Diceros bicornis minor: one gene and its partners. The protein of the gene in region 2 interacts with the protein of the main gene of each other region in a biochemical or structural test. Links are inferred from orthologs where the notes say so. Each region holds a gene or a part of one and is shown on either strand. Other genes may lie near its edges. The genes, in order: BICD1, RAB6A and OCRL.

The links.
Region 1: the proteins of RAB6A (region 2) and BICD1 form a complex in vitro, tested with the Homo sapiens proteins (3 studies listed by BioGRID). The link is inferred for Diceros bicornis minor from reciprocal best matches to the Homo sapiens genes RAB6A and BICD1.
Region 3: the proteins of RAB6A (region 2) and OCRL form a complex in vitro, tested with the Homo sapiens proteins (2 studies listed by BioGRID and IntAct, with this or other methods). The link is inferred for Diceros bicornis minor from reciprocal best matches to the Homo sapiens genes RAB6A and OCRL.

The regions. Positions count from the first base shown.
Region 1 is NC_080756.1:31,699,482-31,709,402, forward strand, and holds the start of BICD1 (protein bicaudal D homolog 1), read right to left. Parts: upstream 5,916-9,921; 5' UTR 5,388-5,915; coding exon 5,175-5,387; intron 1-5,174. UniProt on the Homo sapiens protein: Regulates coat complex coatomer protein I (COPI)-independent Golgi-endoplasmic reticulum transport by recruiting the dynein-dynactin motor complex.
Region 2 is NC_080746.1:57,118,748-57,128,668, reverse strand, and holds the start of RAB6A (ras-related protein Rab-6A), read right to left. Parts: upstream 6,117-9,921; 5' UTR 5,673-6,116; coding exon 5,603-5,672; intron 1-5,602. UniProt on the Homo sapiens protein: The small GTPases Rab are key regulators of intracellular membrane trafficking, from the formation of transport vesicles to their fusion with membranes.
Region 3 is NC_080781.1:118,337,022-118,346,942, reverse strand, and holds the start of OCRL (inositol polyphosphate 5-phosphatase OCRL), read right to left. Parts: upstream 5,248-9,921; 5' UTR 5,110-5,247; coding exon 5,071-5,109; intron 4,812-5,070; coding exon 4,732-4,811; intron 1-4,731. UniProt on the Homo sapiens protein: Catalyzes the hydrolysis of the 5-position phosphate of phosphatidylinositol 4,5-bisphosphate (PtdIns(4,5)P2) and phosphatidylinositol-3,4,5-bisphosphate (PtdIns(3,4,5)P3), with the greatest catalytic activity towards PtdIns(4,5)P2.

The DNA of each region.
Region 1 (9,921 bases), on a different chromosome or scaffold from region 2:
CCTCACAGAAAACATGAATTACAAGGACTCCTATAACTTGGCCATCAACCTTCCCCTCTAAAACTGCCCTTACCCCATAGTACCTTCCTTTGTGAATGGAACCACTTCTATCCATCCTGAGAAGATTCTCGACTCTACTCTTTTTCTCACTTTCCACATCCAGTCACATCCAACACCATGTTCCACTGTACACCTCCTAAATAGCTCTTAGGTTTGTCGCCTCCTCACTAGCCCCACTGCTCCTGCACTGCTTTCAATTCACCCTCTGTGACCAACACCGTGACCTTCTAAATTGCACTTGTGGCTCTGGCTGAGATGATTCACCCTCTGAGGTAGTATGGTGCAATGAAGAATGGGCTTCTTCCTAAACCAGGTTTCACCATCTAGCTTTGCAGCCTTCAGAAGAATCCTTAAGCTCTCTAAGACCTACTTTACTTTTCTGTATAATTCGAGTAATATCTACCTTGTAAAGGATTGTTATAAGAATTAGAGATAAGGCATGCAAAGCGCCTTGTCCTAAACGGAGCTTCGTACATAGTTCAATGTTTTATTATTCTTATTATTTTCTTATCTGTAAAAATGGGCAATAAGCCTCTAAGTTACTTTGAAGGTTAAATGAGATAAGATGTAAGGCGCCAAACACAGTTACTAAGTGTCTCCTTTCATTTCCTTTTAATGGTTCCCCATCCCCAAGAAAAAAATGTGGCCACTGCCACTTTCTCAATTTCATCTCTTGCCACTTGACTTTACATCCCTTCTCCCTTAGTGTAATGAATTATTTAATAGTAAGACTATGCACCTGTTCATGCCCTCCTGCAAAGCCATTTTTACACGTACAACCTTATGTGTGAGAAAGTTCTTTACCATATATTTCAACATGCAAGTAATTATCATATGTTCAAATGTGGAATGCAATATCCATAAAGTACAAGCGTATTTAAGAAAATGATAGTGTAGAATATTTGTAAGCACAAAATTCTGAAAAAATCTTCAAACCCTGGCTGCAATCATTCACGCAAACATGGTGAATGTCATGAAAGACTCTAAAATCTTGCTAAATGATATCTGAGAAATAGCTCTGTCAGAGATGAAATCTTGAGTTGAAATAAAAAGAAGTGATGATGCAAGTTAGAGCAATTGGGTCAAAAAAAAGAAATGTGATTGAAAGTCATTATGTTTGTTTGCTGAGGTTGTTTGTCAAGTTTCCAAAAGCATTTGTTGGTATATTTTAGTTTTTTAATTAACTTGCTAATAAATGTGATAATAAATATAATCATTTCTTCTTTAAAAACAATAAGAGAGAAAAAAATACTAGCTTAGGTAAATAAATTAAGTACTAACTTTCTCTATGTTTATTCATAGATTGGAAAAGAAATCCGGAGTTCTTTTTCCCCATATGATTTCATGATTTAGAATTTACAGAGATAAAGAAGCTAATAATCTTCCCAAGCATATAAGGAAAGAAAATTAGTTCTGTTTAAAGATGAATCCAGACAAGTAAATGGCTTTCATCAGGTCCCTAATGTGACCATCTCTAAAAGTGTATAAGTTCAATGTTTATTTCTTGAATGATGCAACTACAGCCCTGAAAAAGCAAAAATTTGTCTTCAGGAGGAGAAGCTGCTCTACGCCCAGAAAGTGCCTCTTCCGCAGCTGATGTCTATCCTTGGCGTCAGGGATGAGAAAATGAATTGAAGATTCTTAGTACATAGTTTACTGTAACCTAGCTGCAAAACTTTCTAAAGTTGTCACACAGATATGTTTTCTAAAATGCTACCAGGAATGCTGAATCATTCGTTTCTAAGGAGATCCTTTTAAACTTTACTACATTTTAAATTTCAAACATTTTTTAAGTAAAAAAAATTTAAATTCGGAGTATTTTTTTAACGTATGTATATTTTTAGTTTTCAAATTATTTTAGAACCATGACTCTTCTTCAGACACTATCATGGCCTGGGTGACAGACACGTGCTGATTTACACATATCCCAAACTTACAATCAGCCAGGCCAGGAACATAACTGGGCAGGGGTGCCCCAGTCACCGAAAAGCAAGCATTATTTGTGAGCCCATAAAACCGTGGTCAAGTATTCTAGTGGATATGTTGCTTTGTCCAGCTGCCTAAATATAACATAAAGGAGAACATTATGATGATGTCAGAAGTCATCCTTTTGTCAGATCCTAAGTACTTTTCTTTCGAGTGTGTTCTTTAGGGAGCAGAATTACAGCAGTCGTGTAGGCACAGGGCAGAGCCCTGAGTGACAGCAGGCCAGGCCAAAAAGCATCCAGACTGAGGGAAGACATAACTAGAAAAAAATTAATGACTTCATCATCCTGATTTTGCACATCTTCAGGCAACCCTGCTCATTTGTATTATTGTCATAGTGGTACATAGTCTGGGAAGGAGGGCAGCCACATGGTTGGGTGCTGACTCTCGAAAATGAAATGACCTGTAAAGACTAAGCTGTGCTGCTACTCTGCAAATTACTAATGTCCAACTTGGACTTAATACAGTGTTTCTCTGTTGACATTTCCATAAGTGATCCAATTATTTTTAAATGGATCCTATTTGTTGAAAGAGCCTATGAAAAAGCCAAAGATTTCTTTTATACATGGCTTAATAGATATAATGCAACAACACTGTTTACTATATATACCTGAAAATGAACAAAACTTCCTTTTGAAAAATCAGAGCACTCACAAAACGTGTTTTTCAAAAATGGCTTCTACACGATATCATCATTGGAATATCTTAGTGTGCATAATTATTTTGGATTTACTTTTCAAACAGGAAGTATTACTGAGACTGATTTAGCTCATTGAAATAATACTCCCAACTAAAGTATATATCATGTTTAAAGGATCAAAATAACAGGTCTCACTATCAAATCATCAGGTATAATGATTATTTTATTACCCTAAAATATATTTTTATATAATTGTATAAGCCAATTAGGGACCCAAAATTGAATTATATTTAGGCTAAATGCAACTCAAAACACACATGTAAACAAGCACCATTTGGTAAAAATAATCCTGCTAAATTTTTATTAACCTCCTGTTATATAAAACAAAATATGCTTCAAATTTTTATAGAAAAAATTTATAATTGGTATTTGCATTATTCCGTAATAAGAAACCAATGTTATACTATTCCTACAAAACATTTTTTCTCTTTTTTCCCATTATTGCTGATGAAAGTAATACAAGTAGTTTTTAAATACTAGTCACTTCCCATACTTCCTAATTTTCTTAGTCTTTCTCTGACACTAACCCATATTGACTAGTGAAAGCTTGATAAAGGCGTGTCTTCTTCCAGTATAAATTTATTATTTCATTAAATATTTACTGCTGGCTCACTATGTGCTAGGCTTTGTATTAAAGACTTTGGATGCAAAGTAAATTAAGACAGATTCCTTGCCTCAAGAGCTCATGGTCTAGTAAAGGCAAAAGAAATTGCATTAAGGTTTACTATTTAGGGCAAGTGCCAATGACACAGAAATATACCTAGAAGAGTTGTTTAAATCAAGCAGGAAGGTCAGTTAACAATTATACTCCAGTTCATTAAACTAAGTCTACCTCCTTTATCAAGGAGGTGATGGCTTAACACTGCCTGGTTTACACTTCCTCGTCTTGGTAAAGCAGTGCTGACAGGTGCAGACAACATCAAAATATCTCTGAGATTTGCAATCACCATCCTGTTTCCTAACTCCACAAGGTTTAGCATCATTGAATTTAAACATATCAGCCTAAGACCTAATCAAAATTGGAAAATACCAATAAGTCTAGCTGTTGTTAAGAACAGACATGTGCATGGTAAGAAAAACATGAGCTAGAAATTTACAGCTTGATACACAAAAATCAGATTTCTAGTTGGAGTTTTTACCATATATTTATTTTTTGGCACTTAGGCATCAGAATAAAAACAAAATGAACCTGAAATTATAAATGCTTACCATTTATGTACTAAACTAGAAGGCAAATTGATTAGATATGTCATAAATCATGCTTTTTAACTGTAACAACACGAGACACCCCCCAAAAAAACAGTTTGAGTACGTTATAAGAAAAACATTTCTGATATTATTATATACCAAATTAGAATTAATATTTAAAATGCCAATATGCACCTAAAAATAAAGACTTGCCACATAGAAAAGCAGTGTGTACATTTAAATTTATAACTGGTTACATGTTACCCATAGTGCCTCAGGAATCAAGCAAAACAGACTGAGTTCCTTCAACAATATGTATACTCTTATATGAGTGCTTAATAGGAAATCAAAGCATATTTATTATTTTCTTCCAGTACACTAGCCAGTCTTTAAAAGAAGCCAGATACCAAAAGACTAAAGAGGACAAATGTTATACATGGCCCATGTGTGGTGCTCTGGTTTTATAAACATAGTCATTTCAAACAGAAGAGCCTCATTTGAAATGCACAGCTACCCACAAATTTGATATACACCATTTTTCAGACCATTTGTAGGGGAGTTCAATTTTCCCTGATCAGGGTGACCTTATAAGTCTTGAGCAAGGCCCAGCCTCACTCAAAGGTGAAATCAAGGCAGAGGTGAAATCACTCAGCAGAGTTGTTTTTCTCCTGCAGCCTGATGACAAGAATAACTCAAGCCAGGGAGAAGGAAGCCTGCCCAGCCTTTGTCAATTGGGACTGGCCAGGAGTTCTAATCACAGTTCTCTCTCTCATCAAGGAATAGTTACCTTCAGCAGAAGGCTGAGGCACCACAGATTATACATCCTGAAACTGCGGGTCCTCGGCACCAACCTACCCATCACCTTTGTGGATTACGGGATTGTCACTGAAACCTGGGTTTGAAATAACAGCAGTTTTGAGAAGTTTGAATTATACATTCCAGCCCAATTGAATGTCGCCTTAGAGTGTTGAGTCTCGAAGACTTATGAATCTCCCTCCCCCACAGCCTTAACAGCCCTTGCCTCCCAAATTCCAGCTTATACATTCATTTCCTGGGCAATTTTTCTCTTGGGGGAAAAACAATGGACTCTTTCAATCTTCTGTTATCAACAAAGGGCTCTAACATGAAGAAACAGGCCTTTCAACAGCATCCTTGCGACTTCTTTATAAATGATGAGTGGGCGTTGGGGGTGGGGGGAATGGACGGGGGCCGAGGAGGAAAGAGGTGACAGGCAACTCACCTCTTTCAGCTGCTCCAGCTCCTGTTTGAGGCTGTCATACTCAGCCTCCAGCTCGTCATACTGCTGTTTGAGGGTCAGCTTCTCTTCAAGCACCACCAGCCCGTACTCGGCAGCCTGGATCTTCTCGTGGGTCGTCTCTGTGAGCTCCTTGGTCAGCCTCTCTATCTCAGTCTTATAATGGTCCACAGTCTGCAATACCTCTTCTGCGGCCATAGCCCCGGTGGATGGAGGCAGGAGGGGGTGATGGGGTGGGGGAGATGGATGCAAAGCAGGCAGGGGAAGGGAGAAGGAAATGGGGATGGAAGGGTAAAAATGGAAAAGAAAAGTGTGGCTGGATGAATGAGCAGAGCAATGCCCTGACGCTCCTCTGGCAGCAGCAGCTACAGTGCCAGAGAAACTGACGAGAAATGCAACATGGAGAACGCAGGGAGAGGATCAGGGGCGAGGCGGCAGCTGCTGCCGCATGTGTCCTCTGGGCCGGCCCCTGCGTGCGGTCAGCAGCCGTTCGGCATGGCCTGGCCTGCGGCGGCCGGGGGCGGCGAGGGGCTCCGGATTCTGCTTATTCAGAGGCGCCCGGCCGCCATGTCTCCCGGGCAGCGTCACTGCAGTCTCCCCAGGGTCTGGCGCGCTCGCTCCACCTGCTCGCTCTGGCCGTGCTGCAGCCAGTGCGGAATGATGCAGTCTCGGGCCCGCTCCCTCCCGTCGCGCCTGGCCGGGGATCCGAGCCGGGGGGCGGGGAGGCGGATGGAGTCAGCGCGGGGGAGGAGGCAAGGATCAGACGGAAACATCCCCAGGAGCCTCCCGCCCGGCGCGCGGGCCCCCGCCGCTGGCTGCACCGGGGGGCGCGCGGGACGCGCGCGAGGAGGAAGCCTCTGCCCTGTCCCGCTCGCCCCGGGTGGAAGTTTCTCCCAGGGCTTGCCCTGATGGACGTCCAAGCCCTCGAGAGTGGCGGGGGCGCCCCGGCTCTCTCGTTCCGACGTGAGCCCAAGCTCAGGAAACTGTCTGGAATCGGCGCCTTCCTCAAAGAAAAGCAAACAGTAACTAACGCGCTCGGGACCCGCGCATCCTTCTTCTCGCCCCCCGGGCTCGCAGCGTCCTTCCCTGGCCTCCTGCACCCAAACGCTGTGCTTCCACAGCCATCCAGACGCGCCCCAAGGCGCCGGTTTCCGTCAGGTCTTCCCTCTCCCTCCCCCGCCCCCTTTCCTAGCTTGGCCTGGTTCACCTCACACTCTCACCAGTTAACCTTATTACCCCCTCAGGACACTCTTTGCTAAAGATCCCTTGCCCTCATCCACGCTTTCTGTGCCCAGTTTATCACAAGATCACTCTCTCTACTCAGAAAAAGATCTCTCTAAAGCATGCCCCCAGTAAGCCTCTAGATACCATTATTTCTTGCCCCAGTAGTTCTACTCCACGGATTCTTCAATAAAAGAAGACTGCATGCAATTCCCTATATACAGTATCAACAATACCCTACAATAAACATTTTTAAAATAATAAGAGCTAATAGTTCTTGAGACCATGTGCCAAGCATTCTTCTGAGTATGGTACACGCATTCTCTCCCATCCTAACAATAACTCTGAGGTAGGAACCCTTATCCCCAGTTTACAGGTGGTGAAAGAAAGGCACAGGGAAGTTGAGTGATTTACCCAAAGTCAGGCAACTCTTAAGTGGTGAAGGCAAAATGTAACCTTAGCTCCAGAGCCCTAAACTGGATCAGTTATGTTGGCTTCACCTTCATTCATTACTAATACAAACCCAGCAACTAAATATTATATGCTTGTAAAATGACCTCTTTAATCAATGTAAAGAGTGATGATGAAGTATCACAAAAGGAGGTGAAGGCAAAGTCAGAGGAAAGGAGAACAAAGAATGGAGACGAGATGAGACTAGAGAACAACCAAGAGGAAAGGAAGCAATAGGAATGGAGAAAGAGTAATATCTGTGTAACTGGGAGGCTGTGGGAGCAACAGACCAAGGGTGTGGCCAGTTCCTCCCCTCTTTCCTGGGTGGCACTTATGACAGAGCTGTTTCTTAGTGGCCAGGAGGTGTTCAACACACACACATACACACAGACACACACACACGCAGACAAGCTTTCTGAGTTAGAGAGCAGGACTCACTTCTCCCATCATTTTGTACGTGGTAAAGAAAAAAGACAATTGCTGGTGGTGTGGGAGGAAGAGCAAATGACAATGACCTTACAAAGCCTTGACTAATTAGGCTCTCTGGATGTGATTTTCACTGCCTCTGGAAACAGACAAAAAAGATTCCTTCCAGATGCTGACAATGACAACAGAATATTCTCTTGTGATTATCTGATCTATAAATAAATGAATGAATGAATGGAGAACACACTTGAAACTTGCGACCACCATGAATTCCAACCTAGCAGAGAAGCGGGGATGATAATGACCACATCAGTCCACCTGTGCTGCCTTGATCTCACACTGCAATTGACAAGCCCCTTCTGTGTGCTCCTGTAGTGCCCATCCTCTGCACAATGATGAATGACCATGAACTGCTGAAAAAGAGATGAAACTTGTAATTGCAGTTAGCTAAACTGCCTTCTTCCCGGTATGCACCTGGTCCTCACTCCACAAAGTGTAAACACAGCCCTTCCCAAGGGATCCAAACACCTGGAGCAGATTGCCTGCGTCTCCCTTTCCTTTGGACAGAACTAAGAATGGAGTTTGCCTCTGTGACTTTCCTTTCTCTGTGTCCATTGTCGCCCGTTCCCTATGCTCTATTCTGCCCCATTTTTCTGATTTATACACTTTTGTTAGTTTATTCAGTCTGACTTCATTCAGACGTGTTCACTATTCTAACACTTTAAGATTTTGCTGAGTACAACTTTGATCCTCTCTGTGTTAGTATTTAACTTGATGAAAGTAAACTTATCTCCTTGTACACCGTATTCTTCCAGTGCTGCACTGCATACTCACCTATCTCTCTCTCTTCATATATGTCATACATATCATATATACATACGTATATGTCTGTGTGTGTAGATATATGTGTGTGTATATATATATATGTATCAATGACAAGTATCTAGAAAATAATTTCTTAAACCATTCCTAGAAGCATGGTCCCCTCATATTTCTTTATCCTAGCAGCCTCCAATCACTTATGGAACTTTCTTACATACAAATATTTAGGAAAAATTGTATTTTGTGACCTAGTACCTCAAACAAACCTCTCACCAACTTTGTCAGCAAGAACGTTGCTTTCTCTTGCTCTCACTCATTCATTCATTCATTCAACCGATGTTTAGTAAGTACCCATTATGCCCTAGGGACAATAGTGGGCATTGTGAAATCAATGACCAATAAGATGAGAGTGGTCAAGGGTTCCTGACCGTAAGGAGGGACATCTCCTCCCTTATGTTCTGGGAGGGACAGACAAAAAAACAAACTACAACAACAAAGATTAATATAATAATTCCAGATTGTGGCAGTGACAGGCAGGATACAGCATAGTGATTAAGCACACAAGCTAGTCTGCTTGGGTCAAATCCAGCTTTGCCACTTACTGGCCCTCTGTGCCTCAGTTGCCTCATCCTTAAAGAGGGAATAATAACATCATCTACTAGTGAGATTGTTGTGAATAGGACATTATTTGACACCTAATAAGCAGTATGTGTGTTTGTTTTTACAAGTTTTGAAGAAAAACAAGGATAAGATTGAGGTTGAAAAAAAGAAATAACAGGGCTATCAGTGGAGAGCTCTCTGAAGCAGTGATATGTATCACTCTTAGTATCTAAGAAATAAGAAGGAATTGGATATGCAAAACGTGGGGGAAGAGCTTTCCAGGAAGATGGACAACATGTGTAAAAGCCTAAGGCAGAAAAGAGTGTGGCGAGTGCAGAGAATGAAAATCAGAGGCTGAGGATTAAAAAGCAAAGGGGAGATGGCCTGAGATGACACTAAAGAGACAGGCACCACCGGAGAGAGAGTCAAGGATTGTGCCTGCCTTGCAAGTTAAACTAAGGAATTTGGATGTGGTACACTTGAAACTAATATAACGTTAGATGTCAATTATATCTCAACTTAAAACATAGTCTTTTTTTTTTTTTCTTGAGGAAGATCAGCCCTGAGCTAACATCCATGCCAATCCTCCTCTTTTTGCTGAGGAAGACGGGCCCTAAGCTAACATCTATTGCCAATCCTCCTCCTTTTTTTTTCCCCCTTTTTCTCCCCAAAGCCCCAGTAGATAGTTGTATGTCACAGTTGCACATCCTTCTAGTTGCTGTATGTGGGACACAGCCTCAGAATGGCTGGACAATGGGTGCGTCGGTGTGCGCCTGGGATCCAAACCCAGGCCGCCAGTAGCAGAGCGCGCACTTAACCGCTAAGCCACTGCCCTCCCCAGAACATAGTCTTTTGAAGTGCAAATATTCACAGATTAAACTACTTTCCAAGGCAAATGAGTTTCACACCATATAAAAACAGGAAGAGACAAGATACTTCTGTTTAGCTTCTCGGCATGCATTAGAAAAATCTTTAAATAGCCATCCTAACTGAATCAGCCTTCCAGTTAGAATAGCTGGTAGGTTATGAGTTGAGATTTTAAGGCTGCCAGAAAGGACTTTTTAAATCCTCCGCTCTTCTTTCTAATCCCGCTCAATGAGGTCTGAAACTCCTTTGGGAATAAAGAAAGAAGTACATCATAATCTCATAATTAGAAATAAGTTTAAAATGCAAAAACGTGAATTTACAGTTATATTTGCTTTTTTTTTTTCCT
Region 2 (9,921 bases):
CGCCGCCACAGCACGGCTTACCAAGCAGTGCGTCGGTGCGCGCCCGGGATCCGAACCAGCGAACCCCGGGCCGCCGCAGCGGAGCGCGCGCACTTAACTGCTTGCGCCACTGGGCCAGCCCCCCTGGAGATTTTTAAGAGTAAGACGAACTTAAGAACGGTCCAGTTTAACCGTCACAGACAAGAACAACCTAAGGAGATCCAAGAACTAAATCAAACGTAGTATCCTGGATGGGATCTTGGAACAGAAAAAAAACATTAGATAAAACTAAAGAAATCTAAATAAAATATGGACTTTGGTTAATAATAATGTATCAATACTGGTTCATGAATTGTGAAAAATGTACATGTTAGATGTTAATTACAGAGGAAACTGGATGTAGGGTATACGGGAACTCTGTATTATCTTTGCAATTTTTCTGTAAATCTAAAGCTATTCTAAAACAAAAATTTTATTTAAAAACAAAAAAAATAGAATGGGAAAGCTCTCTATGTGCTAATATGAAAAGATATCTAGGATATATTGTTAAGTGAAAAAAGCAAGAAGTGGAATAAAGTCTGATATATCTTATGTAAGGGAGAATAACAAATTGTATTCATATTTGCTTGTGTCTGCATAAAGAAATCCCAGAATATACACAAGAAACTAATATATATAATTACTAACGGAGGAGGAGTTGGGGTGGGGAACGGGGTCACAGGGACAGGGGTTGCCATTTTTCTCGGAGTATACCTTTTTATATAATTTTAATTTGTGAAATGTGACTGTATTATCTATTAAAAATAAAGTTAGAGAGGGAAAAAATGATCCATTTAAAGCCCTGAGAGAAATGGATTAGACTTCTCAAAGTCTCCTCCAACTTTAGAACGCTCAAAAATTTCCATTCAACAATGCTTCAACTATTAATCATATTTATAATGTGCCTTCCCTGAAACTCCAGGCTTCCCTGTCACTTCTTTGTACCTTTTAACTCTATGTTTCAAAGCAGCTGCACTCATCACATTATATTGTATTAGGTATTACATATTTCTTCCCTGATGAAATGTAAATTTCTTAAGAGTAGTTTTCAGTAAACAAATCCATTTGACAGAGCAGCAGTTTTCAGTAAACATTTGTTAATTTAAAATATTTACTGAGCACTTCCCATGTGACAGGCACTCTTCTAAATACTTTACATTTATTAACTAATTTAATCTTCACAATAATTCTATATGATAGGTCCTATTATCTTTATTTTATAGATAAGGAAGTTGGCATAACGTGGTCAAATAATTTGCTCCAGGTCAGTGGCCAGTGCTACCATATGAAACTCAGACTCTGCTCTTAATCACTAGCTCTACTGTTTAGTTTTAAGGCTTCAAAACTAGATATGGAAAACATTCCCCTTGATTGTCCTAACTTGCAATATGAAACTGCAAGTACAAATGGCTTTATATCACCTAACCCAGCAGTTCTCAAAGGGTGGTCCACCCACCCCCAGGTTCTTTAACACCTGTCAGGTGGGGGTCATCGACTACCCTCCTGGAGGTCAAAACTATTTTCATAATATTAAGATGTTGTTTTGTTTTTTTTCACTCTCCTTCTCTCATGAGTGTACATCACTCTCCTTCTCTCATGAGTGTACAGTGGAGTTTCCCAGAGCCTACATGATGTGTGCTATTAGAACAGACTGATTGCAGAAGCAGCTATAAGAATCCAGATGTCTTCTAGTAAGTCAGACATTAAAGAGATTTGCAAATATGTAAAACAATGCCACTCTCTCACTAAATTTTTGTTTGGAAAACAGATATTTTTCATTAAAAATGATTATGTTAACATGTAACAGGTTTAATACTATTGTTTTAAATGAATTACATATTTTAAAATTTTCTCAGTTAACTTTCAATTACAGTAAATATTGACATAAACCACATAAACAGAGCTCTTTAGGAACCTCAACAATTTGTAAAAGCATAACAGGATCTCGAGAAGAAAAAGTTTAAGATCATGGAGCTAGCCAATCTAAACTATTCAGTACTCCTAGTCTCTGACACTAAGACATTTTTTCCCTACCTAGCATGCTATAATTCAAAAGAACTGATGTAAAAAAGGTAATATAAAGTGAAAAAATAAGCCATAATAGGCCAAAATGTACTTCCCCCTGAGATTACATTTCCTAATTTGTAACCTGTAACATTTGTTTGTAGTAATATCTTCTACTGTAAACCATGAATAACATTCCTAAAAGTGCCTCTGCATTTCAAGACAATAGCCAGAGGTAGTTACAAAAGAGATTCCTCAAAGAAACATCAGATTCAAATTGTGTATTTCAACACTCCTTTGTTAAACCACGAATACTACTGAAATATAAAGAAAGCATAAATTTATAGGAAGATTACCAAGACTGATGTCATTAACTCAATCTCAAGTTTCCTGTACTGAAACAACCCATCTTCGTTATTGAATACAGAATCTTAAGTTTTTGATATGCTACATAAAGCAGTCTACCCAACTTCAAATCACTTCCAGGAACATGTCTTTAGTATCATTTGACAGACTTTTAGGTGCTATACCAATAACAAATAATTTAACGATAGCTTTAACAAGACAAGACTAATTTTGCTCAACTCAAAAAAAAAAAAAAAAGTGCAAAATCCTGGTCAGTCTTATTTTTTTTTAGTGAAATGGGTGAGGGCTATAAATTATTGGGTTCCCTGCCCCTACTCTCAGTATCTAGAGTATCCCTGCATACAATGTAAGTAGAGAATGTTGTTGTTAAACTACTAATTGCATAAGGAAAAAATACAGACTTCACCATAGCAAAAATTAATATAGGTTACTAGCTCTGGTTACTAGTAGATTCAACCATCATTCACTCACCAAATATCTGAGTACATACAACAAGCCTGACACTATGCTAGGCACTAGGGATACAATGAACAAAAAAATAATAGTTTTTAATCTTCATGGGACTTGCATTCTGCTGTGGGAAATAGACAAAACACACAAAAAATAAGAATAATAAACGTGGTAAATGCCATTAAGCAGACGACCATGGCTTTGCCACAGATTAGTCTTTGAAAGCTGAACTGTGGAATTCTAAAACCAAAAAATAAATAATTCATGAAGAGTTACATCAAGATGACATGGATTCTACAGACCTTTCCTAATGCATAAGAAAACTACAGACACTGCCCACGAAAAAAGAGATCAATCTTTCACTGTCAAAGCTATTGGACGGCATTACTTAGCAATATAGCAATCTCAAAAGATAATTAACCTTACAGTTCCACAGAGTTAAAAAGCATGTAAATACAATCCTAAAAAAACATTTAAGAGGAGCCTATGAAGACATGACAACTAAATGTAATGTGGTATCCTGAACTGAATGCTGAAACAGAAAAAGATAGAAACTAAGGAAATTTGAATAAATTATAGACTTTTTTTAATATTGGTTCATTAATTGTAACAAATGTAAGATATTAACAATAGGGGAAATCGGGTGGGGCTATATGGGAACCCCCTACATGATCTTCTCAATTATTCTCTAAATCTAAAACTGCTCTAAAGAACAGTCTATTCAAAAAAAAAAATCTAAGATGGTTTCAGGAATTACGCGGGGGGAGTGCGAGTTAGTTAAGACAAAGTAAGAAATGAGAAGCCAAAAAACTCTGCAATGTGAATTAGAATATAAATGCTCAAGAAATTCAAAGGAAACCTACAGATACTTATGATCTCTATTCACACTAAAATTTTCCTAAGACAGAGATTAATGCATTTTTTCATGAAAACTAAATAGCTCTGCATCACAACATAAGGCAGGCAATAACATTCCCAGAGTGCACAATAAGCATTTTAGATCCTATTTATCAATAATGACCAATAGGCTATATTTTATGTATGGCATTGTCCTGAAATTGCCATAAAATATCTGGACCAGGATCAACTTCATAGGTCTTACTAAGTTACTTAAAGAAACAAGTTTATACTTCCTTCAGGAAAATTCATAAGCAAAGAGACTATATTTTTCCTTGGTAAGGGGGGTGGCAGGAAAGATTATGTATGAAAGGAGAAAAATAATTTCTCAGTCCAACTGGAAGCAATTTTGCAACTAGTATTAACCCACTTTAATGCCATAGAAATTAGTATAAATAGTTCAAGACACTAATAAAAGCTCTTAATTTATATCAATCATCTTCTTTCCAACCAAAACAAATAACGAATGCTTTCTATAACCTAACCTAAGACACCTAGTAGGTAACTCAATGTTGGATGATTTGGGAGGAACTCATCATCTCTCAATGTCTGAATTTTAAAGATGGTCATGAAAAGTGTGAGAAAAACAAAGGAGGATGATAATCTCTAAATTGTCGAGTGTCAAGTTTGCATAATACTGCAGAAAATTGGAATTACCACAAGAAGTAATTTTAGAGACAGCCATTACAAAATTAGGATCTTGTATCTAATACAAAGTACAGCGACAGTAGAAGCCTGACCAGATAAATGAAATAACAATTTCACTCATTAGATACTACGGAATATTAAGCATAAAAGAATCATTTACTCAAAATGATATTACATATTTAAATCTAATTTAGATAACTGGATGACAAATCTATTCCTACTCTACTCCATTACTCCCTAACCCCAAAGGAAATCCTACAAAACAAAGATGTTCGTTATTCTCAAGCCTTCTCTCACAGGAATTCTAAATATATAATTGGAAAATACTCAAGAAGAAATGGAATAATTAACATTTCCCCAGTAATTCCTGTTTGCACCACCATGAGGAGAATCAGACACTGATTCATGTTGAAACGAGAAAAAGAGAGGTGAGATGTGAAAAATTCTAAGTAAAATGATCATGACATAGCATCTGGCAGAGATCGGAAAAGCATCAACACTGCCAAAAGAATTGTCAGAGATGAAAGTCAAGAGAAGAAAACGAGGTTTTACAACAAGCACAGCCTAACCCAAGAGGCAAAAATCGCCACCGCCGCCGCCCCCAGCCCCCCAACTACTCCATCCTCCAAATCAGATATATCTCCTCTACAACTCAGACTAATTCCCCACCCAGGTGAAAATCATCCCAGAATTTTCTAGGACCCCCCACTTTCCCCCTTCCATAAGATCCGCACTTCTCAGGGCCGAGCCTCTGGGGAAAACAACGCCCAGATCCCACCCTCCTTGCCCAAGGTTGAAGAGGGCCCGTTCTCCGAACTGGGGCTTCCCGGGGTGGGCTCATAAAGCTGATGAACTGGGATAAGAGCAAGGAAGAAGGGTGGGGATCAAGGAAGGGGGCTGGGGGTGGTGAGACGACGGAGACGCGAGGAAGAAAGGGATGGACAGGAGGCTGAGGCTGGGCGGGGTGAGGCCAGGGGAGGGCAGAACCACGGGAGAGGGCCGGGCTGCGGGGAAAGGAGACGGCGAAGTCGGGGACGGAAGGGTCAAAATCCGACCGGCGGATCAAGGCGAAGAGGAGCCGGCGACCACGGGGCAGGGCTGGGGGTGGAACGCCGCGTGAACGCGAGGCCGGCGGGGAGCCTCCGCGAACGGCAGGGCCGCACTGGGGGCGGTGCGGGGAAGCCGGCCAGCTGCCAGAGTGGGGGAGCCGCGCACTCACCGCTCTGCTCCCCCAGGAACACCAGCTTGAATTTCCTCAGCGGATTCCCGAAGTCTCCGCCCGCGGACATGATGGAGCCGGAGGAGCTGCCGCCGCCTCAGCCCAGAGACCTCCCGGACCGACGCTGCTCCGACCGGTTGATGAAAAAGGCGAGAGGAAGGGCGGGCGCCGAGCTCTCTCGGTCCCTGCAGGGCCCGGCGGCGGAGCAAGGCTGGAGGGCAGGACTCCTCTCCACAGATCAGCAGCCGTCGCCGCCGCCTCACCGCGGAGTCGCCTAGCACCGAGCGAGGCCCGCGGACGTGAAGGGAAGGAGGGCGGTGTCGGAAGCAGCCAGGGGTGTGCTCGGGATTCCCAAGGCTAGCGCCGTTCCCGTCTCAGCGCCCGCCACGGAGCCTGGGCTGCAGGGAAGAAGGGTGGCGGAGCCGACCCGCAGACGCGTCTGGGACCTCTCACACGCAGCGCCTCAGCTCCCACAGCCGCCGCCGCCGCAGCCCAACCTGCTGAGTGCGCGAGCCTCTGGTGCGGCGCGGAGCGAGCCCGGGCGCGAGCCTGCCGCCCAGCCGGCCGCCGGCGTGCAAGCGTGCGTGCGTGCGCGTGCGCGTGCGCGCCACAGCCTGCGCCTTCCTGGTTTAGCCTGCTCTCCCGCAGACGAGGGCAGGTTACGTTTCGACTCGCGTAGGGAGAAGCGAGGAGGAGGTGGGGCGGGGCCCGCGGGAAGTGAGGGGTGGAACAAGGAGCATTAACGTCACTTACCTGATGAGCCAATCGGAAGAGGCCAAGGGTGGGCAGCGATGGGAGTGAGGTGGCAGCGCGAGAGCGCGCGCGGCACCAGCGCGGAGGACAGAGTTACACGGCGGCTGCCATGGGAAGTGTGGCGCGTCGCAGTCTGAAGGGAGAGGCAGGAAGGTCGGGCGGAGGCGGGGCCAAAATGGAGATGGTATTGACCGCAGCAAGGTGTGGTGTGGACGGAGGGCTATAAGGTGTGTTACTAGGTTACTCTTTCCTGAGCCCTCAACCTAGCCTCACATTGCTTAGATCCGCCCTTCACTGGTTCATGCACCCACCTTCTCCATCTTCTTTTGTGTGTGTGTGGAAGATCAGCCCTGAGCTAACATCCATGCCGATCCTCCTCTTTTTTTGCTGAGGAAGACTGGCTCTGAGCTAACATCTATTGCCAGTCCTCCTCCTTTTTTTCCCCAAAGCCCCTGAGTAGATAGTTGTCCGTCATAGTTGCACATCCTTCTAGTTGCTGTATGTGGGACGCGGCCTTAGCATGGCTGGAGAAGCGGTGAGGTGGTGGGCGCCCGGGACCTGAACCCCAGGCCGCCAGTAGCGCAGCATGTGCACTTAACCGCTAAGCCATGGGGCTGGCCCATCCATCTTTCTTATGGTAATTCCTCACACGATGTCATAGTAGATATATTCTCTGCTCCTGCTCCCAGGAGTTTCATAACTACCAGAAGCAGGGCCTCTATGTTTTTGCAGATGAGGAAACTGAAGCTCAGAGGAAGGAAATGACTTACCAAATCCATTACAAAATCCAAAGAAGCCATGAAGCGGAACCCAGGTTTTAGTCTTTTTCCTCCATCGAACCTCTGCAACCTCCTATTGATAAGCCTATCCACTTCCCTGGCCTGACTGCTTCTCTTCTGTTACCAGCCTTTGTTCCTCAGATATTGACAACTCTAGGTGACGCCCACCTTCCACTGTGCTAGAAAAGGGTTTAGACATCATGTAAACCAAAACCCTAATTTCACAGATGGTGAAACTGAGGCCCACGTAGGAAAACAGCTTTGCGAAAAGGTGACACAACAAATTAGAGGTAGAGCCTGAACTTGAGCCCAAGTGTGGGGAAGGGGATATTTTAAAGATCACTCTGCCTCCTAAAGCAGGGTTTCTGAATCTGCTATGGGTGGACCTCCCTTAAATTAGACGTCTGAAACATGTGGATTTTTCTGTAGAGAGGATCGGTAGCTTTCATCAGATTTTCAACCCAGTTCATGACCCAAAAAGTGAAGGTTAATGTCACAGCCAAGAGGAGCTGAAGGAGACGTGACAACTAAGTGTAATGTGGATGTAACTAACATGACATGTTAACTAACATGACAACTGAACATAAGTTTTAAACTAAATGGGATCCTGGAACAGAAAAAGGACATTAGGCAAAAACTAAGGAAATCCGAATAAATATGGGCTTTAGTTCATTACAATATATCAATATTGGCCCATTAATTATAACAAATGTATCATACTAATGTAAGATATTAATAATAGAGGAAACTTGAGGGGGTATATGGGGTCTTTCTGTGCTGTCTGCTCAATTTTTCTGTAAATCTAAAACTTTTAAAAAAAGTCTTAATAAAATAGAAATAAATAAAAGGTTAAGAATCTCTGAATTAGAGAATTTGGCATCCACACCTCGCCATACTTCAGCCACACCTCACCATACAATGGGACAGCATCCAAAAAAGTAATCCCTGCCTTTGAAGAAGACACTTTTAAACACTGGTATCAAAAATACTTCCCAAGATAATAAAAAATAAGTCCTTATGTTTATATATAGTGCCTTACCATTCACAAAACACATTTATATACATTTTCTCATTATTTGGGGGTTATTATTTACTTAGCTGTAAAAACGGCGGGATCAAACAAGTGCCTTCTCAAAACTGGGAATGAATTGCTGAATTAGAATAAATTAAGGGGAGAAATAGAGGTTCTCAAAATATCATCTATTCTGGCCTATCAAGACAACTGCTATATCCCCAAACCTCCTCCTTTATCAAAATTTACTCACTTCTGGTTCCTCTCAGCCAAATGGCAAAAGGATTTTGGAACATGTATCTAAAATGAAATGGTAAAAAACTGAGTTCTTACATGGACATTAGATTTTTTTTTAAATATTTGATTTTAAAAGTAGCTTGTCAGGTCTGGTAAGGCCCTCCCTACCAGTAACCCAGAACCCTGGCACACACGAAGAGCAACCAATACCAAGAGACCATTTAAAAAGAAAAGCTCTTGCAAACAAAAGTGAGTGGCTATTTTTTCTTTCTGATGGGTACCAGGTTTTCATTATGCTTCCTGAAATAACCTTTAAAGTAACATCTGAGGATTGGAACTATAATTACCTTGTACTTCCTGCAGAACTTTATGAATCAATTCCTCCCTGCTGCTTTGGTCTCTGTAGTTACCTAGACAAGTGATGCTATTCCTGTCATTTTGAAGAGAGATGTGATATAATCCACCTCTTACCTCAGATGTTTTAGTGTTTTAAGCTGGCATTTTGCATTGACACATATACAGCCTCATTCTCCTCTGAAGCTGCATTTATATCTATTGAGTACTCTGTGTAAATCATATGTCTTGCCATCAGAAATCTTGTGGTCTAAAAGTTGCATATTAGTGCTGTCTGGTTCATCAAATGGAGAAATTACTTGGGATAAGGAGAAATTAAAGAGGCTTTTTTCAAGGGTGCTTTCACCAACATCTTCACCTCTGTGATTTACACACACTTTTCTCTTTGCCTTGAATACTTTCCCCTCTCCCCCTCCCCAATTCCTACTCATCCTTTAGGTATCATCTTTAAAAAGTCTTCAAGAAGATTTCTCTGCTCCCATCCCCACCAACAATGTAATGCCTGTCCTCTCATTGTACTCTATTCTTCCCCATCACTTAATTATTATTAATTATCAGTCTTCTCTGCCTGACTGTAAGCTCCATGAGGTCAGAGCTCATGTCTTGTATCCCCAGCACTTGCAGAGTGCTTGCTATATAGTAAGCATGGAACAGATATTTGCTGAATAAATGAAATAAGTGAGAGGGATCATTTTTAGCTTTCTTCAAAAGATGAATGAGATTTGGGCATGTGGAGATGGAAAGGCAAGAGCATTTGGGAGAAAGAGAACATCACTTAAAATCACGTTATGTAAGTTGATACTACATTCCTTAACATCACTTATGAAAAAGATGCCCAGAACAGATCTCATCACTAAAAATTGGCAACAATGGAAGAAGACAGCTTTGGCAGCTGCAAATCAAAATTACCTAGACCAGTTTTCTTTGACCAATTTAAAAGGGATGTTAATTTGAAGCCTTTGAGTGTGTCTGGGAATCTACCACACAGAAATTATAATTACAGCCTTTCTTTCAGCCCTGAGAGACACAAAGCTTCTTGAGGGAAGACTGAGATTTCATCTTATTCCTTGTAGAAGACATTATCGGTTGCTTATCCAACAATATACACACAAAACACACACACACTTCCACGATGTATATTGGAAATGACAGATACTTTTCCAACTTCCCTTCAGCCAAGCTAT
Region 3 (9,921 bases), on a different chromosome or scaffold from region 2:
AACTACAACATACAACTATCTACTGGGGCTTTGGGGAAAAAAAAAAAAGGAGGATTGGCAATAGATGTTAGCTCAGAGCGGGTCTTCCTCAGCAAAAAGAGGAGGATTAGCATGGATGTTAGCTCAGGGCTGATCTTCCTCACAAAAAAAAAAAAAAAGGATATTAGTAGTGATCAGTATCTGAATACCCACACTGTTCTATAGCATAAAGAACATATAATAGTCTATGACATAAAAACAGCTTACAATCTTAAGAGCATGAATTAACAGTGCATACACCTTCAGAGCATGCATACCAGAGCGAAGAACTAATAGCTAGTTGTGAAGTCCACGAGGGCAGGGACTATGGCTGTCTTTTCACCACAGGATTTTTAGCACCTAGCACAGTGCCTGGCACATAGCAGTCCCTCAAGTTTGTTGAATAAACGAATTAGAAATTTCATAAATTAGCTTTCCCATTATATTTCCCTGGCTTTTAACAAAGAATGGTCCTATCTCTTCAAACAAGTATACAAGTCATGGAGGAGTAAGGGGAGGTTCCCAGCCAGCTGCATTGGTCAAAACAACCCCAGTGACCAACAAAGTAGCAGATATCACCAGATTGCCTTTATAGCCCTTGTGCTTTTACTCTGGTTTCCAACTTCATGCTGGTATTATTAGGTAAACATGACTGAAGAACTTGGCCCCTCAGTACGAAATGTGAGGCTTCTAAATTCCTATGTACTCCTGAAATATTAATTTTCATTTACTTCTTATCCTTAGTGGCCAGGAATCAAGATATAACCTACGGGTAAATAGCCTTTCTGAACATCTCCTAGCTTCCCCCAAATCAAGCACTCTTCAGGTGGTTCTTTTTGCCAGGAACACTCTTTTTTACTTCCTGAGACCCAACTCAAATATCACCTCCTCTGTGAAGCTTCCCCCAACACCCCAAGCAGAACCAGTGGGCCTCATCCTCTTTGCTTGCCCCTCTAATAGAGTACTTACACACTCCATTATAGTTATATTTATTTCCCTCACAGATTTGAGCTCCTTGAAATCAAGGACCCTATAATATTCAGTTTTGTCTCCTGCCTAACAGCTGCTCAAAATACAGGTTGAATAAACAAACTAGGTTAATCAAGCTATAAACAGAGACGAATTTCTAAATACAACAGTTCAACTTCTGACATTAAAAATGTCATTGTTTTGAATCATTTGATTTCTATTTTGTTGTCTTTTGGGTGGTTTATTGTTTTAGCTTTTTGAATTTTTTTTCAAATGTGTTAACTTTGAAGGAGATAACCTGGGGAAAGGAATTGCTTAGACAGAACTAAGTGAAATAAGAGTATTAATGCTGTCTTTCTGCTCTGATCCAGCTTGCCTAATCTGCTGGGTTTATATTTTAAGGTGACTAGAGGAATATGGGGCAGACCCCTCCATCCTGCAAAGTTCCTTAATCGAGCAGTCTTATAAACTCAGATGGAGACCAGAAACTAGATAAAAGGCTGATAAAGCAAGGGTCAAGGAGGAAGAATTTACTTTGAAGAAAGTGAACACAAAACCAGTATAATCTCAAAGTAATGTAGACTAACAATGGTGCTAACCATTAGTAGTAAAGCTTCAAATGGATTGTATTGTTAAAAACCATTACAAAACAGACAACATGGATGGACCTTGAGGGCATTATGCTAAGTGGGGTAAGTCAGACAGAGAAAAACAAATATTGTATGATCTCACTTATATGTGGAATATAAAAACAAACAACCAAACTTACAGATACAGATTGGTGGTTGTCAGAGGTGGGGGATGGGGGTGGGCAAAATGGGTGAAGGAGGTCACAAGGTACAAACTTCCAGTTATAAGATAAATAAGTCATGCGGATGTAACGTACAACATGACTATAGTTAATAATACTGTATTGTATACTTGAAAGTTGCTAAGCGAGTAAATCTTAAAAGTTCTCATCATGAGAAAAAAAAATGCAACTACATGTGGTGATAGATATTAAACAGACTTACTGTGGTGATCATTTTGCAATCTATGCAAATATTGAATCATTATGCTGTACATCTTAAACTAATATTATATGTCAATTATATCTCAGTAAAAAAAAGAAATGCACCCTTCCCCCCAAAAAAACCATCACAAAACAAAGATAAAATGTGAATTTAAGTCAATTCTACAAGTATTTATTGAATATCTACTATGTCTTAGTCACTAAATAAACTGTAGCAAGAGAGTAGGGCTAAGACTAAGTATGCAAATTCTACCTAAATGTAATCATCCCTTTCAGAACAGAAAGATGAAAAATAATAGGTATATGGCAAAACAATGGAAATCAGAATTTGGTAGCTGTCAAACAGAAACGAGTGACAAATTGTGAATGCAGACTCAGCATTATCCTTAGGAAATACTTTGATTTGTTCAAGGAAGGTTAAAGATGAAACAATAGGTTGCATCATAATCCATTTTCCTTGAAAAAAATGAATGTTAGTGTTTGATTCCCTGTTTCCAAAAAACCAATTTTTAAATGTAACGGTGGTCTCTCAAGTAAATTTCTCCTATGGTTGATAGCAGGAACCACAGAAGTAAAGATTAAAATAGGCTTCAAGTTCTAGGATAAAAAAGCCAAAAGTAGGGCCCGACCCGTGGCTTAGCAGTTAAGTGCACGCATTCCACTGCTGGCAGCCCGGGTTCGGATCCCAGGAGCACACCTATGCACCACTTGTCAGGCCATGCTGTGGTGGCGTCCCATATACAGTGGAGGATTGGGACGGATGTTAGCTCAGGGCTGATCTTCCTCACAAAAAAAAAAAGGCCCAAAGTAAAAATGTTCTGGACACTCAAGTCAGAGAAGGCACCCAAGAGACAAGAATTTCAGGATTATAGATGGTACGACAGTATTAGGTGACTCCGATGATTTCAAAAGAAACTTCTCAGACAATGTAATCCTGAGATACGTTACATGGGTTCAAATCTCAGCTACGCTACTTCCTAACTGTGAACAAGTGACAACCTCTCTGTGCCTCAATGTCTATATCTAGAAAAGGAAGTTGACGATGATATTACTATTTCACAATAACCCTCACATGAGGGTTAAATGAACTAACTCATGAAAAGTGGTGAGAAGAATACCTGGCACACATCAAGCCATTAAGTGTTAGATGTTGCTGTACTCCCATAACTTACAAAGAGTTGGAACAAAAGAATTTGATTTCTCTGTGAGGAGGACACAAATAGTCAGGAGAGCTACCACCCTTTAAAAGTTCTAGTACAAGAGTCCAGATAGAATGAGGTATTTATCTCAAGGCCAATTGCTCACTCCCTTATTAGCTAAACAGAGTTCCAAATATACTGAGCCAAGGGACCAGATCCCAAGCTATGGTCATATCAACAATGTAGCTATTTTATTTAATCCTCATAATTTTGATTTTAACAGAAGAGGAAACTGAGGCACAAAAGTTTACTGATTTGCCCAAGGGTCCCATCTCTCTATCCCATTCTAGCCTTTGGAAGCCGCAGCGGTGTTCCGCTTTTCAATTCACTTTTCTGTTAAATTCACTTATATTAAATGGGTCTTTCAAGGTTTGATGAAATCTGGGAAACATAATATGAGTTTCCCACATCAACAGAACTGACCAAGCAGGACCTAGGGAAGAGCGACTTCACAGAATCAGTTGACATCCAGTTAGAGGCACCAAGAGTCTTAGAAAAGGGCAGGATAGGCCAGTGGGAATTTCTTCTGTGTAAATTAGACAGCATAGACACAGACTCAGTCTGGACAAACTAAAAGCGGGAACCGAGAAAAATTGTTTTTAGGCAGAATCCAATGTTGGAAGATGACAGGATTTAAGTGATCAACAATTTTTAAACTCTGATGTCAAGAAACCAGTGAACAACCAAAGGAGGTGGCTTGGGCACACAAGGATAGGGGCCTATGATATATAGTGGTCACCATGGATACTTTTAAGATGAGGCATTAGTTGCAAGGGAGTGAGATCAGTAACTATAGTGATAGCTTATCAAAATAATCTTTTGATCCATCAGCCAACAGTATTTACTGAGCTCCTATGTGCATGCAAGGCAGAGTGGAAGTTAACACACACTGATAAAATGGCAAATGTCGTTTATATTTCTACATATTTCATTACTTTTTCTAACAGTCAAGTCAATAAGTGAGCAGTTACTAGCCTACACTAAACCATTACTGAATTAATGAATATGCCTTCAAGCAAGTGGAATAAAGGGGTTGGGAGAGTGGAGGAACCAGTTGAATGGGGTTAAGAAAAGGCACTAACATAAGGTTAATGAAGCGTTTCCATAGCACTTTTACTTTTTGTAAACCACTTTCACATTTATTATTCTCCCAGTTAAAACTCCAAAGGCTATAAGGTAAGGCAGTTAGTTAATGTTTTCATTTAACTGATGAGGACACTAAGGCCCAGAAAGCTTTATTGACTTGCCCAAGGTTACACAACATGTGTCAGTTGCAGGGGCAGGAACAAAGAACCCAGGCTTCCTGCTTCCCCGTCCATTGAGTCTTTCCACTGAGCAACACTGCCAGGAGAAATCTAGCAGCGTGGAAGTTGGGGACAAAGACCCGTGGTTAAACCACTTGCACTTCACACCTTGGCCTGAACCTGTTGCCCGCGCGGCCTCAGTGGGAGGAGGGTGGGTGGCTTGTCGCGGTTTGCGGTTGCGAGGTAATGGCAGGCTCCCCTCCTCTGTGGGAATCAGGTGGTTACTTACTCATATTGCCCGTTCCTCTGGGCTAGGGTGAGAGCGCAGGGCTCCCGGAGAGGACCCTTCATCTCCATACCCTCGACAGTATGCGGACGCTAGTCAAGGGTCTCTTCTAGAAGCTCAGCCAGGGAGGGGTGGCGCGGTGTGGTGTGCAGGGAGGCTTTCGCCCCGCTGCCCGCCCCGGTCCCGGTCCCGAGGCACTGCCTCCCACGCCCGCCTCCCTCCCCCGCTCGGCTCGGCCTCTGGGCCTGACCGCCCCCGATCCCTGCGCCGCGTTCCGCAATCTCTCCGACCCCCACCCCCCACCCTGCGCGGCCTCCCCTCCCCCTTCTCTCGGGCGGATACGGCAAGGGGCTGGGCTCCGACCGGGAGCGGCGGCTCCATCCGGGCGGCCTCCGGGCTCAGCCGGACTGCGGACTGCGGCCGGATCCGACGACTCTGCGTCCCCCGTCCTCACAGCCACCCGCCTCGGCTGCGCGTCGTGTGAGGAACGGCTCCGCGCCGGGAGCCGGGAGCCGGGAGCCGAGAGCCTGACCCGAGAGAGAGCGGCGCCTCGCGCCCCCGCCAGTTTTCCAGGCCGCCGCGGATTCCGCCCCCTGCGGCCAACTTGCGGAACTGCAGCGAGAGACCCGACGGAACGGGGGCGTCTCAACCATGTCCAGCAAGGAATATGTTTCAAATGCTGCCTGTGACACCAAAATTCTTCTGGGGACTTTGAAGATTGCCACAGAAACAAAACACAGTCATACCTATGAGGGAACTCAAAGGTGTTGGGCCAATAAGACCCACATCATCCATTCAAAAAATCCTTATTATGGTTATAATGCACCGTGCTGGTTATCCTACCTCTCAGATGTTCTCCCCTTCCTCTTCCTTTCACCCGCTAAATCAGAAAAGTCCTCAAATCTCAGACCTTTACCCTTCTTTTGCGCCCCCTCTAGGTCACCTTTCTTCCTCTCTCCTAATTTCTCTGTATCCAATCAGTCAAAAAACCTTGTTAATATTTTCTTTGGAATTAATTTTTGGTTCCTTGTTTTCTCTCCATTGACACCGCCATCATTTTGTTAGCCTTTGTGATATCCCCTTTGACCATTTTACATAAGAATATGTACATAAGTTTGGCAGTGGAACTTAAGCACATGATTTATGACATAAGTCATAAGAATAGTCTTCCCAGAGTAACATTTCAATTGTGTTTTTCATTTGCTCAAGAATCTACAATGGATTAGCTATCAAGACTGATTTTAAACCTATAGTAATTAAGACAGTGTGGTATGGAGCTAGGCAGACCAATGGAATAGAATACAGAGCCGCAAAACAGACCCACACATATATGGAAAGTTGATATGCAGCATATGCAACATTTCAGATCAGTGGGGAAAGAGTGGATTATCCACTAAATGGTGCTGGGACTCTTGATAATCCATATGGAAAATTATAAAATTAGATCCCTACCTCACACCATAGAGGAAAAATTCAATTCCAGGTGGATTCAAGATCCAAATGTAACAAGCAAAACTTGACAACATTTAGAAGTAAATAGAATATCTTTATGAACTTGGAATAGGGAATGAAAATGAATAGACAGCACAAAAATAAAGGAATCGATTGATACATTTAACTATATTAAAATTCAAGACAACATAAACAAGTTAAAATACAAACCATAGACTAGTAGAAGATATTCTCAATGCATATAACTGACAAACATAGCCTGAGGTTCTACACTTCTTGCCATCATCACTTTTCTGACATCCTCTCCCACCACTCTCTCCAACTCATGCTGCGTAGTCACACTGCTCTTTGCTATTCCTAGGACTTGCCGAACACATTCTTGCCTCAGGGACTTTGAACATGCTGTTCATTCTGTCTGCACTCTCACCTCCTTCAGATCTTCGCTCAAATGTCACTTTCTCAGTCAGGCCTTCCTAGACAAATTTATTTAAAATTGAAGTTTGACAATCTCCTTTCCCACTCCCATGCACACATGCTCCCTATCCCTCTTCCCTGTTTATTTTTCTCCAGAGGATATATCTCTATCATTGTTCTATTTTATTTATCAATTTTGTTTATTGTTTACTTTTCCCCACTAGAATGTAAGTTCCATGAGGGCAGGGATTTTTGTCTGTTTTGTTCATTGCTGCATTCCCAGTGCCTAGAACTGTTCCTGAAACAAAGTAGATGCTATAAAAATATTGATTAAATGAATGAATTAGTATCCAGAACGTGCAAAAACCCCTATAAATCAATGAGAAAGAAACCTAGTAGAAAAATTGACAAAATATATGAGTAAGTAATTCATAGTCAAGGAAACCTAAATGGCCAGTAAAGACATGAAAGGATGCTTCACTTCATTACTATTCAGGGAAATTGAAAATTAAAACCATGAGATACCATTTTGCAACCATCGGTTTGGTTAAAAATTTGAAAATTCAGACAACACCAGGTGTTGTTGAGGATGTAGAACAGATAGACCTCTGATCACCGCTAGAAGGAGTGTAAGTTGGTAGAACTACTATGAAGAGCAATTTGACATTGTATAATAAAGTTCTATAGGTAATACCCTTCAGAAATTCCATTTCTAACTACAGACTGGGCAAAATTCTAACTGTTGTGCACAAGGAGTCATGTAAAAGAATGTTCATTGCAGCATTATTTGTAATCTCAAAAAAATGGAAGCAAATTAAATGTCCATCAGCAGGTGAATGGTTGAATAAATCATGGTATTCATGAAGTTGAATACTATTTTAAAATTAAAATGAATAACACAAGCTATATGTATTAACAGAGTTAAATCTCAAAAATATAATGTTAAGCATAAAGAGAAAATTGCAAAACATGTACGGTATGCCGTTTATATAAAGTCTGAAAATATTATCTGTTGCTTATGGCTACATAGATATACATAACAGTAATAGTATATAAATCATGAAAGGGCATGATCATCACCAAATTCAAGGAGAGGATTGAGACTGGAGAGAGGAATACAGGGAATATCAACTGTATCTGTAATATTTATTTCTTTAAAAACAATCTGAAAATTGATGTTGCAAGATTTGATAGAACTGGGTGGTAGGTACATATATGGGTTATGTTATTCCATGTACTTTCCTGCATTTTAAATTGTTTGTAATCAATGAAAGTGAAAAACAAAGAAATAATACGTAGAGGAGGGTTAGCTGTGTCAAATGCTGAAAACAGGACAAGGAAAATGAGGATTGAGAGACTTTCTTTGGATGTGTCAAGGAGTTCACTGGAGACTGCTAAATAAGTGGTTTCAATAACTGGTGAGGGTAGAAACAAGATGACAGGGAATTGAGAAGGGACTGTATCCTGAGGAAATGGAGACAAGAGACCACGTATTGAAGAAGTTTGGAAGCAAAAAGGAGTGAAATACAATTTTAACTAAATTAGTTAGAAGGGTTAAAGAGAAATTCTTGACAAAACTTGAAGTTACTCTAAAGCAACGGGAAGGAGCTAGCAAAGAGGGGGACATTTAAGGTACTAGAAGAGGGAAGCAGAAAGGTTGCAAGAAAAATCCCTCAGTAATTGGGAAGGACAAGGATCCAAGGTGCAGATGGAGGAATCAACCTTAGAGAAGAGGAGAGGTAGTTCTTCGTCCAAGTCTACAGTATCCCCAGCACCTGAAACAGTGCCTGGCATATAGTGGGGTACTCAAATATTTGTTGTAAAGCATAAGAGGTTGTGAAGACATGGAAATGTATTGAGGTGAGGACACTAAAAACTGTGGAGAAACTCTCACAGGGTAGTTGATGATTTTCTCAAAAAAAATTAATAAGTGTATGTAATAACAATAATAATAATCCTGGTGGCTAACTGAATATTCATGTGACACTCTCCTCATGGCTTTACATACATACTTTCATTTAATCCTGACGAAATCCCTGTAAAGTAGTAATATTATTGTTTACACTTTAAAGATGAGAAAACTGAGACTCAGAGAGGTTTAGCAACTTTTGCCCATTAGCTAGTAAATGGCAGAATCAGGATTCAAACTTATGTTTGTCTGACTCCAAAGCCCGAGGATTTTAACTAACACATTACGCTGTTCATTCAATATTAACAGTAGTAAGAGTAAGTGTTTATTTAGAACCTTCTATGTGCCAGGCACTATGGTAACTGCTCTACCTGAATTATCACATTTAATCTGATGAAATTGAAGTTAACAGTAGAGGGTTTGGGAACTTGAATAAGGCAGAGAAGGAGAGAACAGGCACTGTTGGAGACTGACAGTGAATCCAGAAAAGTTAATAAAGGGTTTTAGAGCAACAGAGAAAGCCCACCTGGAGGCAGATGGTGTGCATTTCTATAGTGGTCCAAATCAGCATGGGTCTGTAACTTTCTCTGGCAATGCTTGGCAGATGGAAAGCAGGAGTAGAGAAAATCTACCAAAAAAGTGCATTAGGCTTGGGAATTAGTACAGCAGGCAGAGAAGAATGTCATGGGGCGAGGGAGTCTAAAGTGGTGTTTAGGATGCATTGAAATAGCTGACCCTGGAGTCTAAGTTGGGTAAAGATATGTATCCCCTCAGCCTAGGGCCAGCAGAGGGGAGGAAGGCAAGCTTGGCTAATTTAATCATTTCCCTGGGCCTGATTCTGTGGCAAATTATTGTATCTGCTTTTTTGGGATCACTTCAGGGACTATGCTTACTTATGTGCTTCTGTACATGTTAAGTCACTTTTGTAAATTGGCTAAAAATTATTTTATTCACAACTGCTTTCTGATTTACCTGTTGTTCTTAGTGATACCACTATTTAACTAGTCACCCAAGTTTGAAACTTGAGGTTTATCCTGAACTCTGCTTCTCCTTTACCTATGATATCCAATAACCCAAGTTTTGTCAATTCTATAGTAAATTTTTACCATATAGTTCTGATCATTCTCACCTATCATCATCAGACGGTATTTTGCCTAGCCAAATAAAGGTCTTATGTCCTATACTTGTATTTACACATACAAGAGACATCCAATGCAAAGAGTTAATGGTCACTGAACAAAATTAAAATGAATGAAACTCTAGCTTCAAGCAAACACAAGTCTCACCACCTTTACCACCACCACCACCACACACACACACGTGTGCACACACACACGCGCACATGATTAAATGAGTGCTCAGTGCCTTTTATCCATTAGACAACTATAACTAAGTGCTTAGGACTTATTGGCTTTTTA